Saccharomyces cerevisiae S288C: one gene and its partners. The gene in region 3 interacts genetically with the main gene of each other region. Each region holds a gene or a part of one and is shown on either strand. Other genes may lie near its edges. The genes, in order: EDC2, MTG1, RDL1 and CRP1.

Region 1 (3,013 bases), on a different chromosome or scaffold from region 3:
TAGATGAACCTACCAATGGTTTGGATATCCCAACCATCGACTCCTTGGCCGACGCCATCAACGAATTTAACGGTGGTGTCGTCGTCGTTTCGCATGATTTCAGATTATTAGACAAAATTGCCCAAGATATTTTCGTTGTGGAAAACAAGACCGCTACCAGATGGGACGGATCCATTTTGCAATATAAGAACAAATTGGCCAAGAACGTTGTTTTGTAATTGTGAAGTTGATCTGCGCCGTGCACGTTTTTACTTCCCCTTTTATGTATTTTAATAGCAATAATTTATATAACTAATCAATCAATAAAGAAAGAAAATCACCGATAACAATGTGAAGGCAAGAAGATATAACAATGACTTCTCCGTATGTGTAAGAATATGAGGGTAATTGCGTAAAAATGTATATAAATGCCATCTTTATGAATAATCCGACCTAAATAAAACCCCAAAAAAAAAAATGAGAGCCCGCCCGCTCAAGTAGAAATAAAAAAATTTACAATCACAGCTACTCAAACAAAACTAGGTTTGGGTAGCGCTGCCTCATGTGGGATATCTGTTGTGAACGAAGCACCGGCAAAGGCCGTATGACCAGCTACGTGCGGTTTCGAATCGATCGACGCCGCCGCCCTATCCTGGTACTGTCTCGTTTTCTTCTTCTTGTATTTGCACGATTTTTTTTTAGGGGCCTTATCATGTAGGAAGGCATCTATGTTAACAGTGACCATCGTTGCCTTATCGTCCTCGTGTCCCGTCTTCGAGGTGCGTTCCCTAGGTTCTCGCCGCTGTTTTGTAGACTTACCGAAGTTTGGTTTCTTGCCATTGGGCAAACTCTGCGTCGGTGGAACTAATATTTGAGTTTTAGTGGGGCGCATGTGCTCCTTGGCGGAAGGAGGACTTTCCCTTGTGACAATCTTGACTTTTGCAGAATGTTTTGTCTCGGAACCCATTATGAGAGATATTTAATTTTGACTATTATAAAAACGTTTGTGTTTGAGTTTCTGTTAGTGTATAACTTTGTATGTAGTGACGTTATTGTCCGGTCTATCAGGAAGGTAATAGGGCACGGGAGGCCGTTGTTTTATAAGTACGGGCATAAGCCGCAAGAAAAAGAAACGTTAAGAACAAAGAAGAAAAAAAGGGGCGCTGATAATCTTTTCACGCAGTAACTGTCGTACCGCGCGATTAGAGCAGTCCATCAAGGAAATCCTGATCGGTCTCTAGTTCTTCCGGTAGATCGGTCGAAGGGGCACTGATCTTCTTGCCCGCACGATCATGATCACCTTGTACGTGAATGGGAACGACTAATGATTCGGGCTCAGCCGCTGTTATAGCCGATGTTGTATTCTGCCGTCCGAGCCAACGATTGAGCTCATCCGTATTCATCTGCTTGAGGTCTTTGATTTTCAAAGTATCTTTATTAGCAACATTATTGACGGCTGTGGCGTCGTCGTTCTGCTGGAGCCGATTTTTGAGGACGTCTTTTAGCACCTTGTTCAACTCTGCATTGGCGACTGCAGAATGCGGGTCCTCGAGTACCGGGTCCTCATAGTACCTGTCCTCGTTTGACTTCAGGGCGGGCTGTTCTTGGTCTTGATCTTTCTCCTCTGTGGTAGCTTTCTCTTCTTTTTGGCGGTTCAATAGCCGGTACTTTCTATCACTGGGTGTGGCATGTTTTCTTTTCAATTTCTGTTTATCTTGAAATTTTTTTCGATTATCCTTCTTTAAGCTGAATGCATCCATTGCGTTTTCAATTGTCTTGTTTTTTTTTTTGTTTTGCTCGTTTTAAGTAGAATAACGTTATTAGTTGTAGCATGTGCTCATCTCCATGAGGTTTCTCCTAATCACTTCCTTTCTTCTCCTTCACCCATACACCCGCCAGCTTTCTTCAATCCGGGTATCGGTTAAATGCAGAGTGCCTAAATGGGCTGCAGATTGACCACTTTGGGTTTTAAGCTTTTCTCCTGATCGCTTTATCCGGACATATTCTCTTAAACCGTTCTTCTACCCGTTTGGTAATACTTCATAAACACAATATGATATTGCTGAGAACGCATTTACGACTGCAAATCTACTATTGAAAACAATTTTAAACATCTGGTCCAATCCAAGGTTTAATAACTATCATTACTTGAGGTGCAACCGCTTTCTTGTACCTTAAATCTTAGCTGGTTATTTTCCTTTTTTTTTTTTTAGTTCCTTTAAGCCTATTTATTACCTTGCGTTTTCGCACAAACCAACTGTTTTTGCCCAAAAGGATCTGCATCACAAGACGCACACGCATAACTGGAATATTTCATCATGCGGTCTTTCATAAAAGCCCATAAGAAGTCCACGTCGTTTGATGAAAGCCCCAAGCGACATAGCAACTTCAGTGGCAATACTAATAATAGTTCTCAAAGGTCAAGTGATGACTCCTTAGACTTTCTACCATCTACACCATCACAAATGAATTACGATAGCATTCCACCACCCGCGAAACACTCACCTGGATTTGAGTCTTTCCATCGTTTGGCTAACAAGACTTCAAAGTTGTTCAAGAAAACTTCAAACTCAAACTTAAACTCGCATTTAGCTTCAACTCCAACCACAAGCACAAATCAGACTACTTCAAATTCATTTGTTCTCCAAAATCCACCCACAAAAAATACTGGACCTCCGCCGCCATTACCACCGCCGCTCTTTCCTTCCTCTTCTACCTCTTCCTTTTCACGTCATGACAATGAAAGTGAATATACTGCATATAAAAAAACTTCTCCTGCAAAAGATTTTAATAGAACCACAGACTCTCTGCCTGCTATTAAGGGCACAATTACTCATTCGTGGGGAGATTCCAAGGTCGAATCGCACGTAATAATATTAAACGATCCTGCTTCCCCAGCATCAAACACATCTGAAGCGACTTCTTCTAAACAATTCAAAACCCCTATCATTGGCAATGAAAATCTAACTTCAACTACATCACCATCTAACCTGGAACCTGCCATAAGAATATTGAACAAGAACAAGGGTAAACA
Region 2 (3,442 bases), on a different chromosome or scaffold from region 3:
CAGAGGAGATAAAGGCGTGCCAACAATTGAAGAGCGAAGATGACATTGCAAAAGTTGCTGAGGAAATGAGGGTACCAGTTTCTTTGCTGAAAGATGTTTTAGAAAAAGGTAAGTTGCCAGTAGTAAATTTTGCTGCAGGTGGTGTAGCAACGCCAGCCGATGCCGCATTGTTAATGCAGTTGGGTTGTGATGGTGTGTTTGTTGGCTCAGGAATTTTTAAATCATCTAATCCTGTAAGGTTGGCCACTGCAGTAGTAGAGGCTACCACTCACTTTGACAATCCCAGCAAATTGTTGGAAGTATCTAGTGACTTAGGAGAGTTAATGGGTGGTGTATCAATCGAATCTATTAGTCATGCTTCCAATGGAGTAAGACTTTCCGAAATTGGGTGGTGATTTCTTTGAACAGGTATTTTGAGCATTATAACACTTTTTCCCCCCTCAACTTTGTATTACTCGGTACACATTGTAAAATGATCTAATTATTAGATAAGCTTATGTATGCTGGATATTATTTACTAGAATACTTGATTGGGGTTCCCTTTTAGTTTGTTAGACAATCCCTCATACGAAAGATCTCCTAACTTTTCCAATTGATCATTTACATAGTTTTTATAAGAAAACTCGTCATTATTCAACAGTACCTCAGGGTCAAATATGATACCCTTTCCATGCAACCTCCATTTGTTAGTCCACTCGATAGCCGTTGATTTTTCATTTTGGCTTTTATTCACTTGAAGCCTTCTTAAAACATCATATATATCATTTGTGGGAGAATTGGTGCTTCCAGGGTAAAGCTCTGTTCTTCCATCGTTCAAATTTTGCAAGTTCATTAGGTATAAAAGGTAATCCGCTTGAAATATTGGATCTACAAGGTTATTTTTAACACTACCACACAACGCCAGTCCTAGCATTCTATTATGATCTGAAACGCGACCGGGAACACCGATTCCTGGAGTATCTATCAAGTATATTTCATTTCTTGATTCCGTATTCCGTGAAGTTACTCTAATAACCTCGCTTGTGGCTCTAGTAACACCAGCTTCTGCACCAGTTTTGGCTACTTTCTTAAATTTTCTTCCCATATTCACTTGATTGTGAAAAATTGTCCTCAAGCTATTTATTAAAGTAGATTTTCCAACATTTGGCATGCCAGTAATCAATGCTCGGTATCCCATAGGTAGATATCCGCCATTTGTTTCTAGTTCGTAATTTTGCCATTCTAGTATTTTTAGTAGATTCCTGACGTCAGTTTTGTTTCGGCAATCCAGTAAAATAAACTTTTCTCCCAGCTCTTCATGCCAATTCTTTAACTTTCCTATATATGGCTTATTGCCGGGCATAAGATCCTTTCTAGTGTATACCACTAATTTCATCACATCGTGTTCCTTTCTTGCTATTCGATCGAAAACCACATTCCTTGTAGATAACGGGGCACGTATATCACGTAGTTCTATTATCATATTCATTTGAGGAAGCAACTTTTCAAATGTTTTAAGAGCTTTGACTTGGTGTCCCTTGAAATCAGTGAGAGGCATACTGTACTTTGGAAATTCATATCTTGGTGTGAAGGATGAAACGTTGGAAATTATTTTCCTAGTTCCTCTCACATTTATGTGCATTTCTGTATTTGATTTGGCTTTTTTGCATTCAGGTCTGAGTAATGAGCATTATCATTCGTTCTTTCTTCTCCTAATAACTAAACCAAATTGTTTCGAAAAGACAAAAATTGTGTACTTTTGACATGATGGTCCGTGTTCTTTGATCTGCGGCAAAATGAACCTACCATGTGGCAGAATTAAATATTTGATTCAAATATAAATAAGGCGAACGACGAGAGATTAAGATATTATATACAGGTAATACTATTGATTGTTTGTTCCACGGACTAGGAATTCTTCCAATGTGGAATTCTCCATTCCAGCGGTTTTTAATAACGCTTTAATGGAGTTGCATAACTCCGGAGTTACGTTAACATTTAAACGTCTGATCCATAGCAAATGACCATTATTTACGATTTTCGATATAACGTGACTATCACCGCTTTGATTGATAACATTTATAAATTCATTCCAGGGCCTTTTGTCCTGACCTTCCCCTTCCGTTGGTGTGATAGCTTCCCAGACTTGAAGTAGCTTATTCCAGTCTTTGATTTTGGCCAAGTTTTGCAATATTGAGACAATCATGCCTGAAGTCAACTTATCTCCAAATGTTTGGAAAATGTGGTCTATTGTCTCGTAGAGTGATCTCAATTTTACCCGTTCATCCGCGACCATGGAATTTAAAAGAAGGGATATTACCACTTCATCGTAAACAACTGAGCCATCGTCCTCTGTTTGTAGACCTTTAAATAGGTTCAAAGCTCTGATAATCACCCTATTTTGCTTTACTAGGTTAAAGTATGAATGACTAGAATGCTGCGTTTTCAAAACCATTTCTAAAAGAGCGATTAGATCTTCCCTTATTAACTCTTGCCCCAACGATTTTTTTAAAAGTAGATAATCCTTGAGGAAAACACGATCTGAATAAAATTGTGGGTCTGCTTTGTTTAGAAGTATCGCATATTCTAGTCGTAGTGGCCAATATGCAGCCGATTGATTTATGGTTAAAAAAGTTGAATGTTCGTCAAATAAGGACTTCCATTGAACAACATCTACTTTCCTCTCTTGTCCTACCAAATCCTTTAAAGTATTTTTAACATGCTCCAAAGTACGTATATTGTGAGTTTCAGTACCACTACTACTCTGAATTATCTTATTGGCTCCTTTGAAGTCTTCCTTTTGTAGAAAGTATCTTAAATTACTTAGCCCGTTTGGGTTGATAGTTGAATACCTTCTCCTTTGCTGGGCCAGTCTTCTTAGGCCTAAAAGAATATTATTGTTGCTTGAAATTTCATTTACCCCTGAAATAGTAGGGACATTACCTGAATCTATATTTTGGAACTTAGATTTCTCATTTTCAGGTGCATACAGCTCTTCTAAATTCAATTCATTACGCCTTCTCTGTGTCAAAATATTTACAAAAATACCATCGACACGACAATCAATCATATACCAAGCCTCACTATTTAAGTCTTTTGCAGAGCATTCAGAGCTTCTACCTAATAGTTTACTAAGGTTGGATTTTCTTGCTAATCTTCTTTTTCTTCTACTTTCTTGTCGCTCATTAAAGTTTCCTTCAACGTATGCACTACTACAGAATTCGTGCTTCAAAAACTTGTTCAACTCTAAGAAACTTTTATGACAATGTTTGGTAGATCTTGCTGTACATATGACCATGAAGTCACCCAACTTATTAACGGCTGAAACAGAGTTTGGGCTTTTCTTCCGTAAATCGAAAACCAGGAAGTCATCCAGACCAAGTTTACCAGTTAGGAGGTCTGCTATTTTTCTTAATGAGTTTGGAGAGGTTTTAGGTATCTCCAATTCTTTGTTCATCGTGTG
Region 3 (2,955 bases):
GCACAAAGAAAAATCAATTCTTTATCGTGAGGTGGTTTAGCAAATTGGAAAACTTTGTGAAACTCCTTTTCGGGCAATCCAAGAGCGCCAGGGGCACTATTCACCGGAATATTTATTGTAGTTGGCATCTTGTAATCCTTTACTTCCTTGGGTTCCCTTACATCTACCAATAGTTTTTTATCATTGGGGTGTTCGACTAGGTTCCTGACCTGGTCAAAAGTATAGATCTTTGGAGCCTTCGTTGTAAATGTTCTCAGGACCAATGTAGGCGATCTTGCAGAAACTGTCCTCGAGAGAATACCTGTACTATGCTTGAACATCGTTGGTCTTTTTCTTCTGTCTCGCTTCCATTTGTTGAGAGTTATCGCTATCTTATTCCATTCAGATTAAGTTTTGTATTTTTTTTTTTATACTTCCTAATTTCTTTGCGCCGCCGCTATCACAGCCAATGCAATAGGCAAATATTATGAACGGTGTGACATAAATGGCATAATACGTTACTAGCTTACGAAAATACACAGGGTACATACCTAGAGTATACAAGGCTATAAGTCAAGTTTATCACCCCCATGAGAAACCCAATCATTCATAGAGCCAGGATATAGTGAGGTGTTTGAATATCCATGTGAGGAGGCGACTTTTTGAGCTTCTCCCCCGCGTTTGCCAGAAGCACAATAAAATATTAGCTCCTTGGCACTGTCAGGTTTTGGGATGCCAATCTGTTTCTCAAATTCTAAAGGATCTAAGGCAAATGCGTCAGGGTGCGATCTATATGGCACATTGATGGAAGCAGGAATATGAACAATCGAGTACTCAGATGGTTCTCTAACATCTACCAAAACCACATTAGGATCATGCTTTCCAACGATTCTTTTCATGTCTTCAAAACTGTAAGATTGAATATTTGAAACATTCTTACTTTGACTCTCGGTTCCATTCCAAGCATTCATCACGGCCTTCCACATTTTAATATCGTTTCTTAGTCACAAACCCTGAAAATAAACGAGAAAGAATTCTTTGATTGATTAAGCCTCCACTCTCTTTTATACACCTCAAAAATTCTCCCCTTACTTCCTTCCCCGCGGGTAATAATATTCTCCAAAAAAAATACAAAAGCAATCAGATGTAACTTATATAGGTTCCAAGATAAATAACAAATTATTTGTCATTGCAAGTAGGAAAAGGACATACCGTAGGTGATATCTGGATTTGGGCCTTATGGAAGCCAATCTTAGTAGTAATTCGTCCATATGTCTACCAAAGGGGATAACAAAAAAGTACAACTACAAATTTTTCACACAGTGTCCCGTTAATTTCATATACTCAATATGCTGCGTTTAATCAAGAAAAATTCTGATATTTTGCGACAGAAGGTGTCCCTGGAAAGCGCTTAGTATGCTGTATGATCTTTGAAGTACAATGCACAGGGAAATAAATCACCATATCTGACGATCATCTTGCTAGTTTCTAAGTTCGGAACATCTTGTCTATGCGCCAATAAAACTAGTTTTACATCGTACAGAAACACTGTCCACTTAGAACTGGACACTTGTTTGCCCAGTATAGTTCTGATACTATTATTATGTATAATTCCCTCAATATTAAGCACTTTATGCAAACGTGTTGGCCCATTGAGGCATTGATATACGGCAAGTAATAGCACCTTTTGCTTCTTACCTTTATCAATTTGGAAATAATGTTCGAATTCTATTTTATTTTGCAGAATCCTTAGTATATTTTCTTCGTCGAACTTTTGTACACTATTTAGCTGAAACTTCATAAGCTTTCCGCTCAAATTAACCTTTGCATTTGTTGATGTCTGGCTATTCATTGGGGATGGGACCGGCTGGTGAGTGGACCTCTTACATTGTAATGATTTGTTCCTTTTCTGTAAAAGTTGTAGAAACGCGTCGTAGTACTTCTGCAAGTCGGCAAGAATGGGTTCAATCTGCTGAACGTCCAAACTAAAATCCTCCAAAAGATGTCGCATTTGATTTTCAATCATTGACAATCTCTTTTTATAGCCCAATGTAATACGATCGGCTTCGACAATTTCATCTTCTGAGTACTCAACTACCGAATCGTGGTCCAAATACATCTTGCCAAATTTTGTTTGTTGCATAGTTTCACTGATATACAATTCACCTGAATTTACCACCGACAGAACATATCCATTTCTCTGCTATGGAGTATCAATGTAGTCTTGTTACATATTACGACACAGTTTTCTTTCCTTTAAAATAAACGCGTCGTTCTCATCTCATGTGAAAAACTATATCAATAATATAAAAACATAAAACCCCTATAATTTATGAACATCTACTGCATTTAGATAAACCCTTACGAACTATATGTTTTAAAATAAAATACACGCATGCGAAATTTCTATTACTACCTAAACCGCATTTCTAATACAAAATGAGAAAAACCCAACAGTGAATAACCATATAGTGTCTAACGTAATCTTAAGTCACTGACGACAAATTCGCCATCACCAAGATGTTGGGTGTTTCCGACACGTCTCACAATAAACTGCTTGGAGTCCTTGACGTAATCAACTATAGTGACAGAGGTGTTGAAAACAATGATCTTATGAGCTTGATGATTTTCATACTTTAACCATTGTAAAATCATTCTGATAGCACCTCCATGACTAACTAGGGCTAGATTCTTGACACCTTCATTAGATGCTTCAGCAACTTCTTCTTCGACACATCCAGTTAACCTAGCAACAAAATCGTCACTTTTTTCCCCAAAATTTCTAAAGGAGCCTTCACCATGTTTATCAGCATACTTTTCAGCCTCAGTAATCTGCATACCTTCAATAACACCCATATAACGCTCCCTTAACCCCGAAGTATAGGAAGTAGGCACATTTTCTTGTTTTGAATGTTTCAAAACTAAAGCCGTAGTTTGCCTACACCTTTTTAAATCACTACTGACAACCTTATCAAA
Region 4 (3,784 bases), on a different chromosome or scaffold from region 3:
GAAAACAAAAGAAAAGATCAAATAAGTGAGTAAATGAAATGCTGTACCTTCCAATTTCTCGAACTCTTTTGGAATTTCAGGGTATGGTGGACGATATTAATGTAAATTATGATTGCTCCCCTGCCAATTGGTATAGGATAAAGATAGACATATTAGGCATCAGAGGGGAGAAGCATTGCAACCAGATAAGATAAATCAAAGATTTTTACCTACAACTACTTATACTATTATTATACTATTATTATATTATTATTATATTATTATTATCATTACTACAACTGCTACTACTACTACTACTATTACTATTATTATTATTTGATATTTTTATTACTGCTATTATTATAATTTATTATTATTATTATTATTATTAATATTATTGCTATTATTAGTAATGTGTTAGCATTATTGCCAATATTAGTATTATACTTTCTTTCTTTTTTTTTTTAATTTTTTTCTTATATTTCTATGATTCGGCAACATGAGACCAATCCTTAGATAATTCACTTAAATAGCTTCTTCAATTTGCCGAAGAAACCAGTTTTCTTCTTCTTGGGCTCTTCTGTCGAAGAAGACAAAGGAGAAGCTGTCTGTTTCTTTGGGGCTTTTACAGTTTGTTTCTTAACCTCTTTGGCAGAAGGCTTTTTTTCTTTACTGGTTTCTGACCTCTTGACCTCTTTAGAGCCTTTTTCTTGCTTCTTTTTCTTTTCTTTTTCTTCTGACACTGCTGGTGATTTTCTACCTTCAGCTGTTTGCTCGTCAGTCAAGGGTAGCTTGGGAGCTTTGTTAACGATGGGGTCTAATGTAAAGACCTCTTCATCTTTTTTTGCCTTATTTTCTACTTTTTTGGAACCGTCTAATACACCTTCAGTGGACTCACGTTTCTCCACCAACTTAGATTGAAGAGACCCCTCCACTGGTTCAACTTTCGATGACTCAGGTATAGATATTTGTGCTTCCGGAGTTGGTAATGGTTCGGGCTCATTTATTAACGGAGTAACCGCTTCCACTTGAGGAGTAAGTTCCTGCACATTATGAGCCACTTCCTTGGTCTCAACAATCGGGTCGTCAGCTTGTGGAAGAGCAGGACTCTTTTCCGTAACTGATGATTCAACAATAGGGCCAGCAACGGGTTCTGGAACCTCTTCTTTTTTGTTAAGTCTTTCATTCAATTCCCTAGCATCAACGTCTCTAATTTCGGTAAATTCCTTGATTTCACCAGGGTTTGGGACAAGAACAGGACCTGGTCCACCAATTATACCATTTGATTGAGTTGTGTCTGCACTTTGATCGATTGGCAGAATATGGAAATTGCCCGGAGCTTCTTTGGAAACATTAGTAGGCTCCGCCAATGGAGTTTCTTCCCTAGAGGTTCCAGTAACATCTTCAGTAGTAGTTCCAGTCACCCCGTCTTCTTCTTCATTATCGTCTAAACTTTCATTTGACTTCTTGTTGTTCTTAGTACTCTTTTTCTTCAATTTAGATCTTCTTTTCTTATTGTTACGCTTGTTTTTCTTTCTATTACTTGTAGAAGGAGGACCTGCTGAACGAGGCGGTTTACCACATAATAGGCCACCTGCCTCCGGGATTCTACTGGCACCGGCAACTTCCTGCGTTTCAACTAAATCGGTAATTTGTAAGAAATTGTTTTCGATTCCTTCACTAACATGCTCCTTTTTATACGAATCACTAACGCACCAAACGCCATCCACAATAAACTTAAACTGAAACGTATCATCCTTGTTGGCTAGCTTCACGGGCATAGTAATTTCGAAATTTCCCTTGGCGGTCTTCACGAGGGGTAAAGTGCCCCTCCAGTCATCAAACGTTCCTGTTAAAATAACATCTTTTGGACCAGCAGGCCAGCTAAAAGTATAGTTGAACATGAGTTCACTACTCATTTTTATTGATAGATTAGTTTTCTTAGTGATTTTTGTATCTTTTATTTTGTAAGTACAAAAAACGTATCAGAAAATGATAAAACCTTGTTCAAATCCTTGTTTGTATTGTTTACCAGGCGATGAGATCGGGTTTCAACAATTTTAGCAACGCCACTTTTCCTAACGGGTAACACACCAAGATAAATGGCGTCAGAGCGTCTTTTTTATGCACAGAAAAACCAGTAGAACACATTAATTAATATTATAACTACATAGCATTTACTTGGGTTGAAATGGTGAAACCTTACCTGGAACTGCTTATTGAAGCATAGAAATAGGTGCACAGTGGAACCCAAAAAGTTTATCGGCAACTTTACCTTCAGTGTCTTGATAATAAGGCAAACGCTAGGGTCAATTGAAGAAGAATTTCTGTTAGGTAAATTAATAGTGTCATTGGTATTAGTAGAATATTACCCGTCGAAATAGAACCAACTATCGTCTATCGACTAATATTCATACTGCTAGTATATTATTATATCCAGTGTAAGAAGATGACTTTAAGATTGAAAAATAATCTTCATAATTTAATGGAAGCTGAAACGCAAAGATTGATAATGCAATAGGATGACGAATGACGACATAAAAAACGGAAGAAGAAATACCAGTAACATTATGTAGAATAGGAATTTCCTTTATCAATAGTCGGATCATAACGGTTGCATTAAAATTTGGGATATTGGTGAATAATTTGATAATTTTTGGCATTCTGTAATTGATAAAGCTATAACATCAAATACAGAATATATAAAAGTGTTGGAATAAAAATCAACTATCATCTACTAACTAGTATTTACGTTACTAGTATATTATCATATACGGTGTTAGAAGATGACGCAAATGATGAGAAATAGTCATCTAAATTAGTGGAAGCTGAAACGCAAGGATTGATAATGTAATAGGATCAATGAATATTAACATATAAAATGATGATAATAATATTTATAGAATTGTGTAGAATTGCAGATTCCCTTTTATGGATTCCTAAATCCTCGAGGAGAACTTCTAGTACATTCTACATACCTAATATTATTGCCTTATTAAAAATGGAATCCCAACAATTATCTCAAAATTCACCCACTCTTCAAAAAGACATTCTCCTCAAGAAATCCACAAAAAGGAATCAACAGTTACGCATAATAATATTTCTTTTCCTTCCTTCTTCTTCATATTTTGCCATTCTCCATCCAGTTGCATCTTTAAGATGCTCCCGTCTCTTTTTATGCCTACATAGTTTAATTCTTTATTTAGAACACCAACAGATACATGGGCGTGTGGTCTAGTGGTATGATTCTCGCTTTGGGCGACTTCCTGCCTAAACAGGAAGACAAAGCATGCGAGAGGCCCTGGGTTCAATTCCCAGCTCGCCCCATTATAATTTTTTCACTTTTTTGTTCTTTGCAAGAACGCGCGGTACGCAGTTATGAGATGATGTAGGCAATCTCGAGAATTGAAACTTCTGCATTACCATAGAATTCAACATCTTTTTTTGGCACATTAAAGGTGTGAATGCTACACTAATCAATATAACACGATTATGTTAATTGGTGTAAGTGGTACGAAATTTTGCGGATGCGAAGATGTTATTAACATGTTGGTTGATCATTTTCATTTTGAATTACTCAATCACCTAGATAATCCAGAGGAGATATTAGATTATGCTACGAAAAATTACACAAAAAATTCAGTTATATTCCTAGAAAAATTATCATTACTGGAGAAACTGGAAAAGAGACCATTTTTTGTTCATCTTTCTATCGACGCTCCTGTCACTACAAGGGTAGCATTATACAGGAAAACGACTCAAGCAGAAAGCTTATCATTAGAACAAATAATACAAGCCATTGATC

Evidence for each region.
Region 1: mutations in RDL1 (region 3) and EDC2 together harm fitness more than expected from each alone (negative genetic interaction), as found in Saccharomyces cerevisiae (2 studies listed by BioGRID).
Region 2: mutations in RDL1 (region 3) and MTG1 together harm fitness more than expected from each alone (negative genetic interaction), as found in Saccharomyces cerevisiae (one large-scale study listed by BioGRID).
Region 4: mutations in RDL1 (region 3) and CRP1 together harm fitness more than expected from each alone (negative genetic interaction), as found in Saccharomyces cerevisiae (one large-scale study listed by BioGRID).

Annotation. Positions count from the first base shown.
Region 1 is NC_001137.3:220,572-223,584, reverse strand, and holds EDC2 (Edc2p), read right to left. Parts: upstream 947-3,013; coding exon 509-946; downstream 1-508. Other genes in the region: ATP-binding cassette family ATPase ARB1, read left to right, coding at 1-218; YER034W (uncharacterized protein), read right to left, coding at 1,182-1,739; ZRG8 (Zrg8p), read left to right, coding at 2,298-3,013. UniProt on the Saccharomyces cerevisiae protein: mRNA-binding protein which stimulates mRNA decapping by DCP1 and DCP2.
Region 2 is NC_001145.3:458,907-462,348, forward strand, and holds MTG1 (putative GTPase MTG1), read right to left. Parts: upstream 1,622-3,442; coding exon 518-1,621; downstream 1-517. Other genes in the region: pyridoxine biosynthesis protein SNZ1, read left to right, coding at 1-395; ATP25 (Atp25p), read right to left, coding at 1,865-3,442. UniProt on the Saccharomyces cerevisiae protein: Mitochondrial GTPase involved in assembly of the large ribosomal subunit. Plays a role in expression of the mitochondrial translational machinery.
Region 3 is NC_001147.6:847,645-850,599, reverse strand, and holds RDL1 (thiosulfate sulfurtransferase RDL1), read right to left. Parts: upstream 966-2,955; coding exon 546-965; downstream 1-545. Other genes in the region: thiosulfate sulfurtransferase RDL2, read right to left, coding at 1-320; HUA2 (Hua2p), read right to left, coding at 1,391-2,122; YOR283W (phosphoglycerate mutase), read right to left, coding at 2,455-2,955. UniProt on the Saccharomyces cerevisiae protein: Thiosulfate:glutathione sulfurtransferase (TST) required to produce S-sulfanylglutathione (GSS(-)), a central intermediate in hydrogen sulfide metabolism.
Region 4 is NC_001140.6:388,414-392,197, reverse strand, and holds CRP1 (Crp1p), read right to left. Parts: upstream 1,899-3,784; coding exon 501-1,898; downstream 1-500. Other genes in the region: DCD1 (deoxycytidine monophosphate deaminase), read left to right, coding at 3,472-3,784.